2 linked regions of the Tamandua tetradactyla genome follow. The protein of the gene in region 2 purifies or fractionates together with the protein of the main gene of each other region. This does not show direct contact. Links are inferred from orthologs where the notes say so. Each region holds a gene or a part of one and is shown on either strand. Other genes may lie near its edges.

What was found.
Region 1: the proteins of MRPL34 (region 2) and RPL19 purify together in Homo sapiens (co-immunoprecipitation; 3 studies listed by BioGRID and IntAct, with this or other methods). This does not show direct contact. The link is inferred for Tamandua tetradactyla from reciprocal best matches to the Homo sapiens genes MRPL34 and RPL19.

What each region holds. Positions count from the first base shown.
Region 1 is NC_135332.1:27,998,638-28,006,460, reverse strand, and holds the start of RPL19 (large ribosomal subunit protein eL19), read left to right. Parts: upstream 1-4,735; 5' UTR 4,736-4,810; coding exon 4,811-4,815; intron 4,816-5,779; coding exon 5,780-5,886; intron 5,887-6,625; coding exon 6,626-6,748; intron 6,749-7,425; coding exon 7,426-7,546; intron 7,547-7,823. Other genes in the region: CACNB1 (voltage-dependent L-type calcium channel subunit beta-1), read right to left, coding at 1,824-1,907.
Region 2 is NC_135337.1:95,465,692-95,473,579, forward strand, and holds the start of MRPL34 (large ribosomal subunit protein bL34m), read left to right. Parts: upstream 1-4,798; 5' UTR 4,799-4,930; intron 4,931-5,208; exon of another isoform or gene 5,209-5,380; intron 5,381-7,094; 5' UTR 7,095-7,115; coding exon 7,116-7,327; intron 7,328-7,505; coding exon 7,506-7,722; 3' UTR 7,723-7,888. Other genes in the region: protein ABHD8, read right to left, coding at 563-706, 1,150-1,366, 1,504-1,674, 3,286-4,039, 4,534-4,744.

The sequences.
Region 1 (7,823 bases), on a different chromosome or scaffold from region 2:
TACATGAAACCCTATTTGGAAACATCCAATCCCAGTCCAGTGTCACGGGGGCAGATCCCCCAACCCTCTGGCCCTGGCAGGCCTTTTCTCACTCCCCCCCTCACAATCACAGTAGCCACACCTCTCCAGGGGGTGGCAAGAGGGATCCAGCCTCCACCCCCAGTTGCCACTGTCCACGCCCTGTCCCCATGGTACCCACCAGGCTACGTCAATCTAAATGCCCCTCGGCCCCGCCCCAGGCCGAGCTTAGGACACAGCCTCACAGGCCTCCGCGGGGGGAACGGGCTCAGTCTTACTGACCAGGGCTCTGGCTTAGATGGACACCCCTTGGGCAGCCCATGTTCAGGTTACAGGTTTCGGGTATTTCCAGGCCTCCTATAAAGGGGCTTCTTCTTTGTCTCCCCCAACTCAATGTACACACTCGGCCCCTGGTCAGTCCAAAAAGTTAGGGAGGGGGTGATTGAGAGTTCAGGCCCTCCAAGCTCTTCCCCAGCCCCCCACTCCCACTCCCCAGTCTCCATCCTAGAGTTTCCTTTCACCAAAGAACCTGAATGAGCCGGGACCAGACTGGAGGCTCTGGCTCCTGGGTCCTCCAGGACGGAGGAAGAGTAGGTGGGAGAAGAGGGCACCTGGGGACCTTTGAGGATCCTCCCTCACCTCGCCTTATCTCAGGCCACACATCTACCCAAACAATGTTTGAGGACCCCTATAAACCTACCAATGAGCCCCTGCCTCATTCATACCACCACCACTGTGAGGTTGGGAAAAGGGAGTGGCACCCAGAGAGACAGGGGACAGCTGAAAGGAAGCCCCAGTCAGTTGCCTTTCAGACTCCAAGGGGCCTGGAGAGGAGGAGGGAGTATTTTTAGGTTTGACCTGAACCCCCCACATACCCATCAACCACATTATCATGGTGGTTACAGTTGCTCCCAGCTGGCCACAGCAAGAGAAGGATTCATGCTTGGGGCTTTGGTGGGCTGGAGGAGGACAAGTCCCAAAGAAATCCCCTGGTACAATCACCTCAGGCCCTGCGGATCAGCCCATGGGCACCCACCACACCAGGAATGCCCCTTCCAGGCGATAACCCAGGGGCATAGGAAAAACGTGAGTAGGGGTGCTGCGGCAGACCCCTCCTCCAGCTTCTCCCCCTCCAGGAGAGTGAGTTGGCATCCATCCAACTTTCTAAACTTTGGAGGTGCTTTCCGCGGCTCGAGGAAAGACAACGTGGGTGTTGGGTGGGGGAGGGGAGCTGGTCCAAGCGATGGGTGGGAGAAGTGTGCCTAGGGATGGGGGCCTGGCCCAGAGCTGGTCCCTTCCCGCAGCCTCGAGGGCCACGGTCCGCGACTCCGAAGCCTATTGGCACCGCCCTCCGCCCATCGCCTCGGCCATCTCCCAGTGCCACCCCCGCCCCACCCACCCCCGCCCGGCGCCCCGGAGCGTGCTCTGCGTAGCCCCCCTAGCGTGGGCTCGCTCTCCAACTACCCTCGACCACCCCTTCTCAAGGCCCAGATTCCCCTGCCGGCACCCTCAATGCCAGTCCACTGGAAACGGTACCCCAGCAGCAGGGACCCTGACGCGGGGGAGGAGTGGAGGCAAGGGCGACAGGCGGCCCAGCCGCCCCCTCCCGCTCCACAGCACCGCAGCCCAACTCCGGGCCAAGCGCCCATCAATCATTAACCCGCAGAGATGGGGGGGCGTGCAAGCACCCCTCTACTCTCGGTGCCCTGCATATAACCCCTTCCTTCCCGGCGCCCCTCGAGTTGGCCCCACAAAGGTCCGCGGGGAATGGCCCTCTTCCCTTGGGACCGGCCACCGCGTCTCACCTGTGGGCTGGGGTCGAAGACCTCCATGGGGATCTCCTGGGAGGGTGGGTACGGGCCCCGGGACATGCTGGTCTTCTGGACCATGGAGAGGAACCTCCCCTCCGGCCGCTCGCCCGGCCCAGACCGGAGCCCTCAGCGCATGGGAGAAGCCGTCCGAACCGAGAGCAGCGCCGCGCCGCGCAGCCAGCACCCACTCCAGCCACCCAGCCCGGCCTCCGGCTACCCCCTTCCTGCCGAGCCTCCTCCTCCCTCTCTCTTCAGCCGCCGCCGCCTCCTCCGCTCCTGAGGGCTCAGCATCTCCCCCCGCCCTCTCCGCTCCCACCCAACCCCTCCCTCGCTCCCTCCCTGTACCCGCCCCGTCCCCGCCCCTCGCAGCCCCTCCGCGGGCTCTGCACAGACAATGGGAGAGCTAGAGAGCTGGGCACGCCCCTCCCGGTCTGGGATCGGGCCTGGGCCGGGGCCGAGAGCTGGCCTGGAACCGGCCTGGGGTGAGAGCTGCGGCCTCCGGGAGGGTTGAAGAAACCCGCTTTCGGGGCGGGGGACGGGTGGGGGCGGGGCGGTTGCCAGGGCACACCAAGCGGGGTCGGGAGAATGCGCGGATTGACATGAGTGGCACTCCGCACCCCCAGCGGCGTCCCAAACCGCTCTTCCAGGGGGTCTTCGCATCCCACTCCTGCATCCGGTACTCCCCGGTCCCGGTCATCCTAGGAAGCGGCTGTAGCTCCTTTATCTCCAGCGTGGCACTGAGGCCACCTTAAACCAAACAAAAAGGTCCCTCCTCCTTCAATAGAGTTCTGGGGCTGCCGCAGGAGGGCTGAAGCGGGAGTGGAGGGGTGAGTGGGGTGATTGAGAGAGGGTCCAAAGGAAGATCCCACAAAGACAGTGGCAAGAGACGGAACCCCAGGGACTCAGGAGTCCTGCTCTAATCAGTTGCTAGGATCCCCAGGCCCTTCCAAAAGGCCAAGAGTAGCACTGGTCCCGGTTCCATGGAAGAGGGAGAAAAGAGAAGAAAGAAATGTGGAGCTGAGGGAGAATGAGACTGGCTAAAATCAGATCTCATGACCTTTAACCTAGAAACTGTTCCCCTTTTATCCTTGTTTTTGGGGACAAATACCCAAGATCTGGACCCCATTTGTGGAGAGACTGTGGTGCCAATCCGACTCAGGCTCCTACTGGTTGTATGGCCCAGGGTATGTAACTACACATTTCCGAGTGGGTTTCGTCTCCTGTAAAATGGAATTGCAGGTATATTATGCCTTTGTCACTGGGTTTATTGGAAGAATGAAATTAGCTGATGGGTGTTTGGGAGGGATCTAAGATGCTGTACAGGGGTCAGTTATAATCTCTGGACTGTCCCATTCACTCCCTATTCCACCCCTTACCCTGCTCCACTCAGGCTGAGAGATGAGAAGAGTGATTTGTCTAGGACCCCTTAGCCTTAAAATAAGCCTAGTACATTGTGTTCTGCTGGAGGGGAGATTGTAGGATTGACTGATTCCTCCTGTTCACCAGGATAACACACACAGCGAACGGCTAGCCTAGATCACATCTCCTTTTGGGGGGAGGGGAAGTGAGGATGAAGGAATAAAATCAATAAAAAAAATCCAAGAATGCACACATTAGCATTGTTCCTAAGTTTGTTCATTAACAACTTCAACACCAAGCAGGGTTCCTGCCTGCCCCTTGGGGACAAGAGAATCTCGCGTGACACAGAAGGCTTGGGTTTTGCAGTCAGAATGACTTGGGTTCTGAATTTCCATTGCATCACTCAGGTATAAAATGAGGATAAGACTAATTATATAGTGAGGAAGTGGTGTTAAATATTGCTTCCCTTCTTTTGATCTTCTTTGCTCCATTTAGCAGTCAGAAAAGCTCAAGTAAAAGAATGAATGCACAACTCTGTGATTATAATGGAAGCCATTGATTGTTCACTTTGGATAGGTTGTATAGGGTGTGAATATATCTCGATAAAACTGCTTTTAAAAAAGTCAATCAGGAAAAAAAGAGAGAGAGGGAAAATGAGAGAAAGAGAGGGAAAGAGAGAGAGGTGATCAAGATCAAATGACACCAAGCAAGGAATTGGAGCCAGAACTGAGAACTCATAACTAGGCTTCTTAGATCTCAGGATGTTCTCCTTGAATTCTTACACTGGGTGCTCCAAAACAGGAGGAAAGAACTATGGGTGTACCTCCATTCGAATAGTTTTTTTGGTTAGTTGGTTTTAACTTTTCCCAATCATCCATTCAGCCAACACAGCACTCCTCTAGTGCCACAAATTGGTCCCCACTCTCATAGAGCTTGCTGTCTCAATGCCTTCCTATGCAAAGTGCAAACTCCAACTCATGTGACCTTCACAACTGGAAGACAGAAATATTAGGATTAGGTCCATTTAACAGAGAGGAAAATGGAGGCACCAAGAAATTAAGAACCGCAGCAGCGTAAAAATACTAGGTAACGTCTTTGGTAATCTATCTGCGGTCCAGAGGCCCCCAATCTACCATGAGAATGAATAAGATTGTTTTGAAAGATCTGCCTTCATTCGCTCTCACTGCATTCACTAATTCTTTCTTTCCTCGCCAATAAAACACTCTTCCTGCGATTCTGGGTTCTGATAAGCCTGCAAGAGGCCTCTCTCACCAAATCCCTCCCACCTCGCCTACGCAATCCAGTGTGACTTCCGGCCATCCAATACCCACGTGATCAGATACCCTTGCTGCGCATGACTATTAGGAAGTCGGACTATACCACTTTACTCTACGGGAGGGGTATTTTTTCTATATTTTTAAGTTAAAAACAGATTCCTGATGTTGGAATCCTATTATCTCGGAACTGAGCAGAGAATATAGATTAGTTTAGGGTGTGGAAGAAGAAAGAGACGGACGGAAATACGAACGAAAGTGGAGCAGGGCATGGACTCTCCCCTTCACAGATAATGGGATGGGCCCGGCCTTAACAAGTTCTTTCCTTTCGGCGCTGCTGTCGCAGCCATGAGGTGAGGGTTCGTGGGTCTCCGGTTTCGGCTAACCTGGGTGGGGGACGGTGGGCTTGGTACCGTGGCCACAAGGGAAGGGAGGTGAGATGGAGGCAACTTGGAAGCGGCGGGTCTCAGAGCTCGGGGTAGGCCGCAGTGCACTGGGCTCTGGGTTCGAGAGGATGGGGGTGGGGGAGCGTCCTAGGAACTCGAGATTGGCAGGAGGTTGTTCCGCGACCCACGTGGGCTAAGGAAAGGCCACAGGGGGAACTAGGTTGCGACCCCCTTACCCGCTGGGCGCGCTCGCAACCTAGCCGATCCCCGCTTACGTGTGACGTGGGATAAGCCTTGCGCAGGCCGCAGGCCGCAGGCCTCCGGCCACTGAGGGTTAGGTGATTGGCCAGCTCTTTGACGCTTTCCTCTCCATTCATCCCTCCTGCGAGAGACCTTAAAGGCCCTCCGGACGTCACTTATTGTTACTGTGATAACACGAGGAAAAAAGCCCAGAAAGCAAAGAACTTTTTTCCTAAGTCCCCAGATTGGAAAGGAGGTCCACGGGCCTTTCCTTTAAACACTTGTTTTTAGCTCTGAACACCAGAAAGGGCATAAGCCCCCTCTCCATCGCACCTTTATCGTTAACTTCATTTTCTAGAGATGGAAACTGAGGTACAGAGCGTTTAAAGCATAACTCAAAATTTTAATCCCAGGAATGTCAGTTGTCTCCTACATTAAGGACTGCTTAAGACCTTAGCAAGGTCGTGATTTGGGGAAAGTGTTTGCTCTGGAAATGTGGTGTGGGTAGCAAAAGTGGCGATGTGTGTTTGCCCTGCTATAGCAAGTATCTATATGTGATTTATCCACTTTCCTGTAGATGTGACGTATCACAACATTAAAAGACCTCAGTGGGTGGGTCTTGCTGGGGAGGCACATTATTATTGCTCAGGAGTGGCTTCCAGGGCCTGATGGAGTTTTCTCTGTGCCACAGTATGCTCAGGCTTCAGAAGAGGCTCGCCTCCAGCGTCCTCCGCTGTGGCAAGAAGAAGGTTTGGTTGGATCCAAATGAGACCAATGAAATCGCCAATGCCAATTCCCGTGAGTCCTTGGAATCGATGTTGATTGTCTACCCTGCTGCTCTCCTCATCCTGTGTTAGAGGAGTAACAGGACTGCATTGATTCTTTACAGTCCTGGGAAAGCTCATGGTCCTTGGTTCTTATAAAATGGAGTCACAAAAATAAGGCAGCACCAGAGTTCCCTTTTTCTGCCATTTTCCAGAAGGACAGGGTGGAAATGTTATGTTTGTGGCTATTTCTAAAGTGGGTATTATGTTTTGTGGCTACGTGCAAGATTTGGGATTTGGGGGGTAGAGGTTGCCAAGGAAACAAGGAATTGGGAAGATTGGGGCCTTGGATCTTTGTAGAAGTCTGTTGGCATATTAGTATTCAAGGCAGTTACAGAGGTCAGGCCTGCAGGTGGCACAAAGACACTCCTATTTACTTCCACTTAATTTCAAGGAAGTGCTTTACCTCTAGGGGTTCGTGGTGCTAAAAAAAAATCTCAATCGACAATAAGTAATAGGTAAGGCAGGTGACTGGCTGTACACTATTTTGATCACACATCCCCAGATGTATATTTTTTGAATGTGCTATATAATATAAGACATTTAACATGGAGAAATGTAAAACAAGAGAAAGCAAGAAATACAGAGGTTCCAGTATTTTTACCATCTTAAGACCACTGGGTCAGAGATCTAAAAGTTTGGATTCACCTTTGCAGCTGCTTCTGTAGGGGCTCAGCCCCAGTTCAGTGACTAGGTGCATTATGTTTTCCCAGGTCAGCAGATTCGGAAGCTTATCAAAGATGGGCTCATTATCCGCAAGCCAGTGACTGTCCATTCCCGAGCGCGATGCCGGAAAAACACCTTAGCCCGCCGGAAGGGCAGGCATATGGGCATAGGTAACTGTGGTTTTCTACCTTTCTCCATGGCTTAAGAAATATTAGGTGCTTGAGTCTAGAGTGAGAATGTCACATATTTGGAGTCTTTTTCTTCCTGCTCTGTCTCATCTTGAGCCCTTTTCTTATTCCACGATATCTCGTGTGTTTTTTGCTTGTGTGCAAATCAGGAAGTTGGTACTCTTGTTGGAATTGAAAATAATCTTGGTAGAAAGAAGTCACATTTATTGAGCTCCTGCTCTGTGCCAAAGATTAAAAGTTGTCCTTTTTAATCCTAAAACTACCCTGGGGTAAGTGATTCAGGTAGACAAAGGTCATTCCATGTTCAGAGCCTCTTCCAGCCTACTATACAGCCTTGGTGAGCACCCTGTCATATCCATAATTCTGAATGAAATAAATGGGGGAATAATTGCCTTATTTGTGCTTCACCAAAAATTGTGTAAGTGAAAGAAGAAATTAAATACTTAATCCTCAGTTATGAAATAGAGGTAATACTGCTTAAGGATGTTGTGAGGATAAATGAAGTAAAGTGCTTTGCATATGACAGTGAATTATAAAGTGTTTCAGAAGTTGATAGCTATCCTTTTTACCCATTAGCTGGCCTTAGTAACTGACATGTGGCATTGACACGCCATAGTAAGCCTGGGCGATGACTGATTCCTAATCCACCTTCTCTGTAGGTAAGCGAAAGGGTACTGCCAATGCTCGGATGCCCGAGAAGGTAACTTGGATGAGGAGGATGAGAATTCTGCGCCGGCTGCTCAGAAGATACCGTGAATCTAAGAAGATTGACCGCCACATGTAAGAATACCCTCCTCGGTCCACCAACACCAGTGTGCTGCTTTGAAGGGTTATTCTTTGCATAGACGAGAGTTCTGTCTCATTGGCTTTGGGGAAGGAGCCATATGCCTTTCACATTCCCCTCTGCTTTGCTCCCCCCAGTACCCCACCAGGATAGCCCAAGAATTGACTTTATCTGCCAAGCAAGCTCTTTTGTCTAGAAGCTATACAAAATCTTGGTTTGGGGAAGAGTGGTCCCTGCAGACAGAGGAGAAAAATGAATCCTGTGCATTTAGTG
Region 2 (7,888 bases):
CAGGCTCCGACCCACCAGGCCCTTCCCTGCGCGCAGCACCGGTTCAGAGGCTACGATTGTCACTTTTTATTAAGTTACAGGATGAGATGTGCAGGTTCGCTGGCGCCTGCCCCTTTCCACCACGTTTGGGCGACAGTAGCCCCCAGCCCCGCAATGAGGGGTGGGGGGGAAGGACAGCACGGGGTCCACGTGGGCCCCAGGATCAAGCGCGACTGACACGGAAGACAGAAAGCGGGGTGGGGGGTGGGGGGTGGGGGGGCCTGTCTCCGCCGTGGCGTTTTTTTTTGGGGGGGGAGGGGTGAGTGGGGGGGGGGGCTTCTGTACAAGGTCATCCTCTGCGGAGGTTCTGGTCACGGGCCGGAAACCACACGCTGGGCGGGCGCGGAGCGCAGCGTGCCACGCCCCCGGCTCCCCGACGCCCCGCCCCGCCGGCCTGGGGGCGTCTCCCGGCCTGACCACGCTCACCGGGGCGAGCGGCCCCCACGCGGGGCCGCACCGCCGCTCCCGGCTGCCGCCTGGCCCGCGCAGCGACTGTCCAAGGGGTGCCGCCTCCCCGCACCTACTACTTCTCGGGCGCGGGCAGCGGCGCGGGCTCCGGTTCCCACAGCAGGAACTCGTGGAGCAGCGTGTTCACGGTCTCGGGGCACTCCAGCATCACCATGTGGCTGCCCTCATCGATGAGCTTCAGGAAGGCCAGGAGCAAGATCTGCGGGAAGTTCCTCCTGCTGTCTACCTTTCATCCGTCCCCTCCCACCCGCCGGGGAGCCAGGCGCAGGGCGCCCGCATCCATCCAACTGGCATTTATTAGGCGCCTATGACCTGTCTGCAACAGGATTTCCCTGCTCGGGTAGGGGCTGTTCTTTGTCGTGGGGTGTGGGGGGTCTGTCCTGGGCATCCGAGGGTATACAGCAGCATCCCTGGGTCCCACTCACCAGATGCCAGGGGCACCCCTGTCCCCAAGCTGAGGCAGCCAAAAACGGTCTTCCATGGCCCCACAATAAAAAAGCCCATTCCAACCAAAATAATCTCCCAGGTTGTCAGAGCCCTTTGGGGGTCCCTTACAGCTCCATAGCCTGCACCCCAGGAAGACACCTGGCGGTGTCCCCTGGCTCCCACCCCCGCCTCCCTGGCACCTGGGCCCAGGGCTACCTCAGCCATGCGCTGGTCCTCCTCCACCGGCACGAACTTGTCATGCATGCCATGGACCAGCAGGACTGGCACGGTCAGCTCGGCGTGGTACACCTCGTCCCCCTCGGGCCAGTACTGGCCGCTCATCATGGCCCGCAGCACGAAGGACGACACGTTGAAGGCGTTGCCCTCCTTCAGCAGCTGCTTCTCCTTGGCCCCTTGGCGGGCAAAGCCAGCCCTGGCAGAGGGAGAGGCATGGCCGGGAAGCCCCTGGTGCTAGCCCCCACCCCGTGGTAGCAGACCGCCCTTCCCTGCCCACTGCAGCCCCGGGAGAGGCTGGGAACCCTCCCCGGAGGGTGGCATGGGGACACTCACTTGAGGAAGCTCCAGGCCAGGCAGGGTGACAGGCAGTGCAGGACGCAGGTGGGCATGTTGAAGATGGAGCAGAAGCTGGGCTCCAGGGCCGTGGGGCCCCCACCGTTTATCATGATCACCTTGTGAACCAGGTCCGGGTACTCGTGTGCCAGGAAGGTGCAGAAGGAGACGCTGCCAGGGAGGAAGGGAGGGCGGGCGAAGGCTGGTGGTCAGCAGGGCAGAGGAAGGCCAGGAGCAAGAGCTGGGTGATGCCCTCCCCTCACCCCACAAGGCAGGTCCCTTGGGGTCCATGGGCATCTGTTGGGGGGGGGTTGGTGCATCTCGGATGCCCCCAAATTGCAACATCATCAACATCACATGTTTCAAGGAAGGAATTTTTTTGGACAGAGGAGCTGGCTCCAGAATTCTGATTGGATTCTCAAAGGCTCCATGATCCCCCCAAAAGGGAAAGAGTAATGATTTATTTCCAAGCATTGGGAAAGCAATCGATTAAATGATTGAAAGAACCCTTCAGCTCCCCAGAGAAGATCGCCCAGTTTCCTGCATAACTCTTCCCTGGAAGGATAAGCCAGCCACCCCACACGCCTCTGGGCGTGGCCCACCAGCCTGCCTTACGCCAGGTGGAGGGGTGCAGTCTCAGGGTGCCCAAAGTCCAGCTCATCATTCCCTCTAAAGCAGGGGTCGGCAAGCTTTTGTAAATAAAGTTTACAATTTGGTAAAATGGTATTTTGTAAATAAAGTTTTCCATCGGCACAACCACATTCATTCCTTTCTGGCTGCTTTTGTTCTACTGTGGCTGCAGTTGAGAAACTGTAGGGAAGACCTTGTGGTCAGAAGCCTAAAATATTTACTATCTACCCCTTTAAGAAAAAGTCTGTGGATCTCTGCAGTAAATAAAGCAAAGGTTCAATGAGCTTCCATCATCGAGCCACTGTGTAAACAGAGGCAGGACTCAGGCAGACCTGATCATGCCAGACTTGCTGTGTGCCCTTGGGCAGGTTGCTTGACCTCTCTGAGCTTGTCTCCACATCTGTGAAATGGTCACTGCACTGACCTCATAGCATTGTTGTTATTTAACACATGTAAAGGAGTCAACAGGAACTACCAGTTTGGGTGCTCATTTAATTGGAGGAGTCAGTTGGCATAAGCATTGACTTTTTGGGGAGGCTAACTAACCAAATAAAACCCACCCATGTTACCTCTGGACCCTGATTCCCTTTTCTGGGATATTTAAGTAACTTTTTTTTTTTCTTGTCTTATTGCATTGGCCAAACTCGCTAAAACAGTGGTTCTCAGTCTGGCTGGTTTTCCTTGCCAGTTGAGTGTAATGCTGCTTTGTAGTAGTTGGGTCCCACAGCCCAAAGCTTTCCTTCCATGGTGCCGGCTCTCAGTAAACGCTAGATGGAATTATCACCTTATTAGGGAGAACAGATAACAGCCATCTATGCCTTCCTAAACAGACTTTATGAGATTCCTACTAGCATTTCCTTGACCACACAGAGGGAACTATCAGCGCTCCCAATGTCTGAACTTCATCTAAGATCACACATCCACACCAGGGGCCATTTTGCTGGCTATGTGACCTTTTGGCAATGCCTGGAGACATCTTTTATTCTCATTCTCATCGCTCCTGGCTCCAGTGGGAAGAGGCCAGGGGTGCATGGAAAACATTGCAAAATGTGGCAGGTATTCATGGCATTTTTTCCAGGAGGGAAATGGCATTTGGTGTCCCCGTGGGGACCCCCAGCCCCCAGCCGCAGCCCCAGCCCGGGGCTCTCTCACCCGTAGGAATGCCCGATGAGCACATTCCGCTTCTTGGCATAGCGCTTGAAGATGGCGCGCATGTCCTCAGCCAGCGCGTAAAAGGTGTAGGCGGCCGCCACCTGGGGCACAGAGCTGGCCCCATGGCCGGCCAGGTCAGGGGCCACCACCTCGTAGCCCAGGCGCACAAAGAAGTCCAGCTGCTCCTTCCAGATGGCCAGAGAGCCGCCCACACCGTGGATAAAAAACAGCACCACATCCGCCTGGGCGCCCTTGCAGCTGGTGATGCGCTTCTCGCAGTCAATGTGGATGGTCCGCTTGGGGCGCCTGGCGCGGCGCCGCCGCCCACCACTGCCGCTGCCCGCGCTGCCGGGGCCCGAGCGGCCGTCGCTGCCCGCGGGGTCGGCCAGCTCCACTTCCAGGGCGGCGGGGGGCTCCCCGGCCCCGTTCTGCCCGTGCAGGAGGTCGGCCCGCGGCGCCCGGCCCAGGTTCTCCACCAGTAGCCGCCCGTTGCGGTACACGGTGATCCGCCGCTGGCAGCGCACCAGGCCCGAGCGGTCCCCCTGCTCCGGGTCCGGCGGCGGCGGCGGCGGCGGTGGGGAGGGGGCCGCGGCGGGGCCGGCGTGCTTCACCCGCAGCACGCGGCCCGGCTTGACCTCCACGAAGGTGTAGCCGTCGCTGGACTCCACACTCTCCAGGGGGCCCACGGCGTTGGGCTGCGCGCCCAGCAGGCAGCAGAAAATGCCATCCGCCACCCCTGTCAACATGGTGCGTCCTGGGAGGGAGCAGCAGCCAACTCAGGGACCAGGGGAGGGGAAGGCCTCAGCCACCCCAGCGCCCACCCGAGGCCACGTGGGGCAGGGGGGCCCAACTGGGAGACCCCTTCTCCAGCTCCGGCTTTGGGGTGCAGAGGCACCAGAAAGGTCCTTCTTTGAACTTGAGTTGGGAAGGGGCCAATGAGAAGGGCTAAGGTAGTTGCTGAGAGTCAGGGGGACTTCCTAGAGGAGGGGGCATAGTGGCAAGTTTGGTCCAAGCCCTGAAGACCACCCTCCCACCCCACCTTGGGTTTTAGGCAGTTGAGGCCTCCTAAACCCATTCATTCATCTACTCATTCATTCATTCATTCATGTATGCAATCTTTCATGAACTCACTTTCCCTAAGCCAGCATTTTCTAAGGGCCTCCTAAGGCATCCTGAAGGGTGCTGACCCCCAGTGGCTCTGCCCCTGGTCCCCGGAAAGTGACAAACGAGGGGGGACCCCATTCTCACTCAAGCTACTCATTTCAAGGGGTCTCCCAGAGCTCCCGCCTCTGGGGTGAGCCAAGCCTATTTCACAGAGGGGCAAGCTGAGGCCCAGATCCGTGGGGTGAGGGGCTGCTCCCTGTACCCCAGGTTGGTAGCCCGGATCTGGGGGGTTGTCATAAGAAGGCATAATGGTGGCCATGGGAACTGGGATGGACAGGCCTCTGGGGGCCTCCATGCTGCATCCCGGCCGCTTGGGCCCACCCACCCCCCGCCGTGTCCATGGCAACCGCAGGAGGTTACATAACGCGAGGGGGAGCCCCATGCAGTGCACCCCCATTGTCTAGGGCCTGGGGGCGCTGATGGAGATCCCTCCCCTCCTGGACCCCCAACCTGGGCACAGAGGGGTGAACGCACGCTGAAGGTGCAGCCCGCGATGGGCCCTCCACGAGCTGAAAGAGGGGGAGCAGCCGCGCCCCCCACCCCGGGCGGGGCCCCTACTCCGGGTTGCGGAGCGGGACGCAGATGCGAGGCGCCAGGCCCCCGCCTCTCGGGTGCCCGTGAGCCCCGCGGTGGGTTCTTAGCCGCCGGGGCTCCGCAGCTTCCTAGGAGCCTGGGCAAGGGCTTCGCGGGCCCCCCACCTCCGACACGGAGGCCCCGGGGACCCCGGCGCCCTCCGCCCCGGGCCCGCTCCCAGCTCACCTCATCGAGTGCCCCGGGGCCCGGGGCGGGGCGGAGAGGTCCCGGACGGAGAAGCCACCGTCGCCTGTGGGCGCCGTTTACATGGTGACGCGGGGTCGGGCGGGCGCGGGCCGGGGCGCTCAGCGCTGGGGCATCCCGCCGCCGCGATGCCAGCCGGCCCTTTAACTCCCTCCCTCGTGGGGCGGGACCGCGTACGGACCGGCGGGCGCCTACGCCAATCGCGGTTGCGCCCTGAGCTGTCCTACTTAGCTGACCAATCAGAGGCGGCGGCGCCGACCTGGGCGCGGGCTCTAGGAACTGCGGCCCCGCCCCTTTCGGGGGCTCACCGAGTTGGCGGGAGGGATTGGGCCTGCACCCAGGCAGAGAAGGGGTCGTAGTCTGGGGTCTGCAGGCTCCCCTGAAGGGCAGCCAGGTCCCTCCCATCGCTTTCTGGGGTCTCCTCAGCCAGCCCCTTTCTCGGAACTGCCCTATTTCCTCCGTTTTCGGGTAGGGAAACTGAGGCTCATAAAAGACAGGTCCTTGCACAAGGTCACAAGGCAAAGGGGCGGGGTGGGGGTGGGGGCAGAGGTGGGCCTTGACCCCGAGGCTGGATGAGGCCACGTCCCAGTAATTTGTATTTGCTCAAACTTTGAACCGTAAGTAAGTAGGGAATTGGGAGTTTCCCACACCAGCCTGCTCAACCGATGGCTGCTGATGCAGTGGAGGGGGCACCGGAGGGGGCAGCTCCGTGTTCCAGGCTGAGGCCCTTAGATAGCCACGGGTTCAAATCCAGCCCCTGCCCCTTGCTGGAAATGTGGTTTGGGGCCATCCACTTCACTGCCCCGAGCCCCCATTTATTTCTTGGTGAAGTTAATCCCTCAAGAGTTCTCTGTGAAGGTCAAGCAGTCAGCACTGGACCTTACATTCATCAAAAAAAATCATTGCAATGGCTGTCTGCTAAATGACGGCGCCGCGGTAGGGGCTCCAGAGGCCCGAGAGTTAATGGCTTCCTCGCCAGGAGCCCACTCCCTGCCCCTGGAATTTGCTGCCTGAGCTGGGTCAGGTCTTGCCTTCCCACTCAGGGCGCTCCTGGGAGACTGCACGGTTATTCATTCAGCAAACGCTCCCCACAGCTCTCTGGGCCCACCCCCGGCTGGGAGAGGCTGGGGCGTCCACCGGGAGGGACTCGGCCGCAGGTCAGGCTCTCACCGCCCTTCCCGGCCCCACCTGGGGCAAACACTCCCAGCCATGTAGGATCTCGGTTTGGCCAGAAGGAGAGACGAGGGTGAGGGGAAAAGGCAGAGGAGGGCACATGGGGAGGGTTTAAGAGGATGAGCAAGGGGACATCAGGCAGAGAGGAGGGTGTGGCTGCAACCCAGAGGTGTGTGTGTAGAGTGCCTCACGTGCCTGCCCCAGTTGCTGGACATTTTCCCCTGGGGCAAGAGGGAGCCACGGAGGGTGAGTGACAGGGGAGGGGCTCAGATCTGAGTATCAGAGCCAGAAGGAGGGCAAGACCGGCAAAGATAAACGTGCGGCCCGTGCACCTTACCACCGAGATGCTGATGCCCTGGGGAGAGGCAGGGACCACGCCAAGGACACCCAGCCAGCTAGATCTCGGGCCTCCTGGGCTCCCCGCCAAGGGGCGGAGACTTGGCAGGGGACAGAGAGAAGCTGCCAGCCAGCTGAGTGCCATCTGCCCGGCTCCCGCTGGGGGTGGGCGGTGATCAGACCAGCCGTTTCCTGCGGCTACCACCAGCTGCGCCACGGCCACCACGGGGCACCCTCTGGAGGGCGACAGAAGGAACTACAACTCCCAGCATACCCCACCTCGGGCATAATGCGCATGCTCAGAAGGCGCCGCTCTCGCGCCACCTTTCGTTTACCCGAAGAACTACGTTTCCCTGCAGGCACGGACGCCGGCTCCTTTGATGCGCAGGCGTGGAACTACAAGTCCCGGAGGCCTCCGCGGCAAGGCCTCCGCCGGAGGAGGAACTACATTTCCCAGAAGACTTCGTTCTGCGGCTGCGGCACCGCCGTCGGCAGCGACGGCGTTGTCCCGGCGAGACATGGCTTCCTTGGCGGGTACTCTGGGTCGCCTGTGGGGCCGCGGCGGTAGGTCGGCGGCGCTGCTGGGGGGCAGGTGAGTACCCAGGGGAACCGTTCCCCAGATTTAGGAGTGAGGCGGTGTCGGGCTGGCGTGGGCTGTCCCCCACCGTGACGCCGCCGGGGCAGGAAATTGGGGGCTCAGAGAGGTTGTGTGCCGCGCCCGAAGTCACACAGCAGCCCTGCTGACGTTTTTCTCTGTCAATCTGCCCCAGCACGTGGTTCCAGCCTCGGGCCTGGCTGGGGCTCCCGGACGCCTGGGGCTTCCCGTCTCTGCAGCAGGCCCGGGGCAAGGCGCGTGGGAACGAGTACCAGCCGAGCAACATCAAACGCAAGCACAAGCACGGCTGGGTCCGGCGTCTGAGCACCCCGGCCGGCGTCCAGGTCATTCTTCGCCGCATGCACAAGGGCCGCAAGTCGCTGAGCCACTGAGGGTGCGATGCTGCCGGCGGGACCTCCAGTAAAGGGTTTTTCCTCGTCTGGGGAGCGGGGACAATCCGAACATGAGTGCTCCCCAGAGTACGGGGTGGAGATTTGGGGTGGGACTGGAAGGGCGAGAAGTCTTTCCGCTTTTGAACTAGGCAGAATTTCAAACATT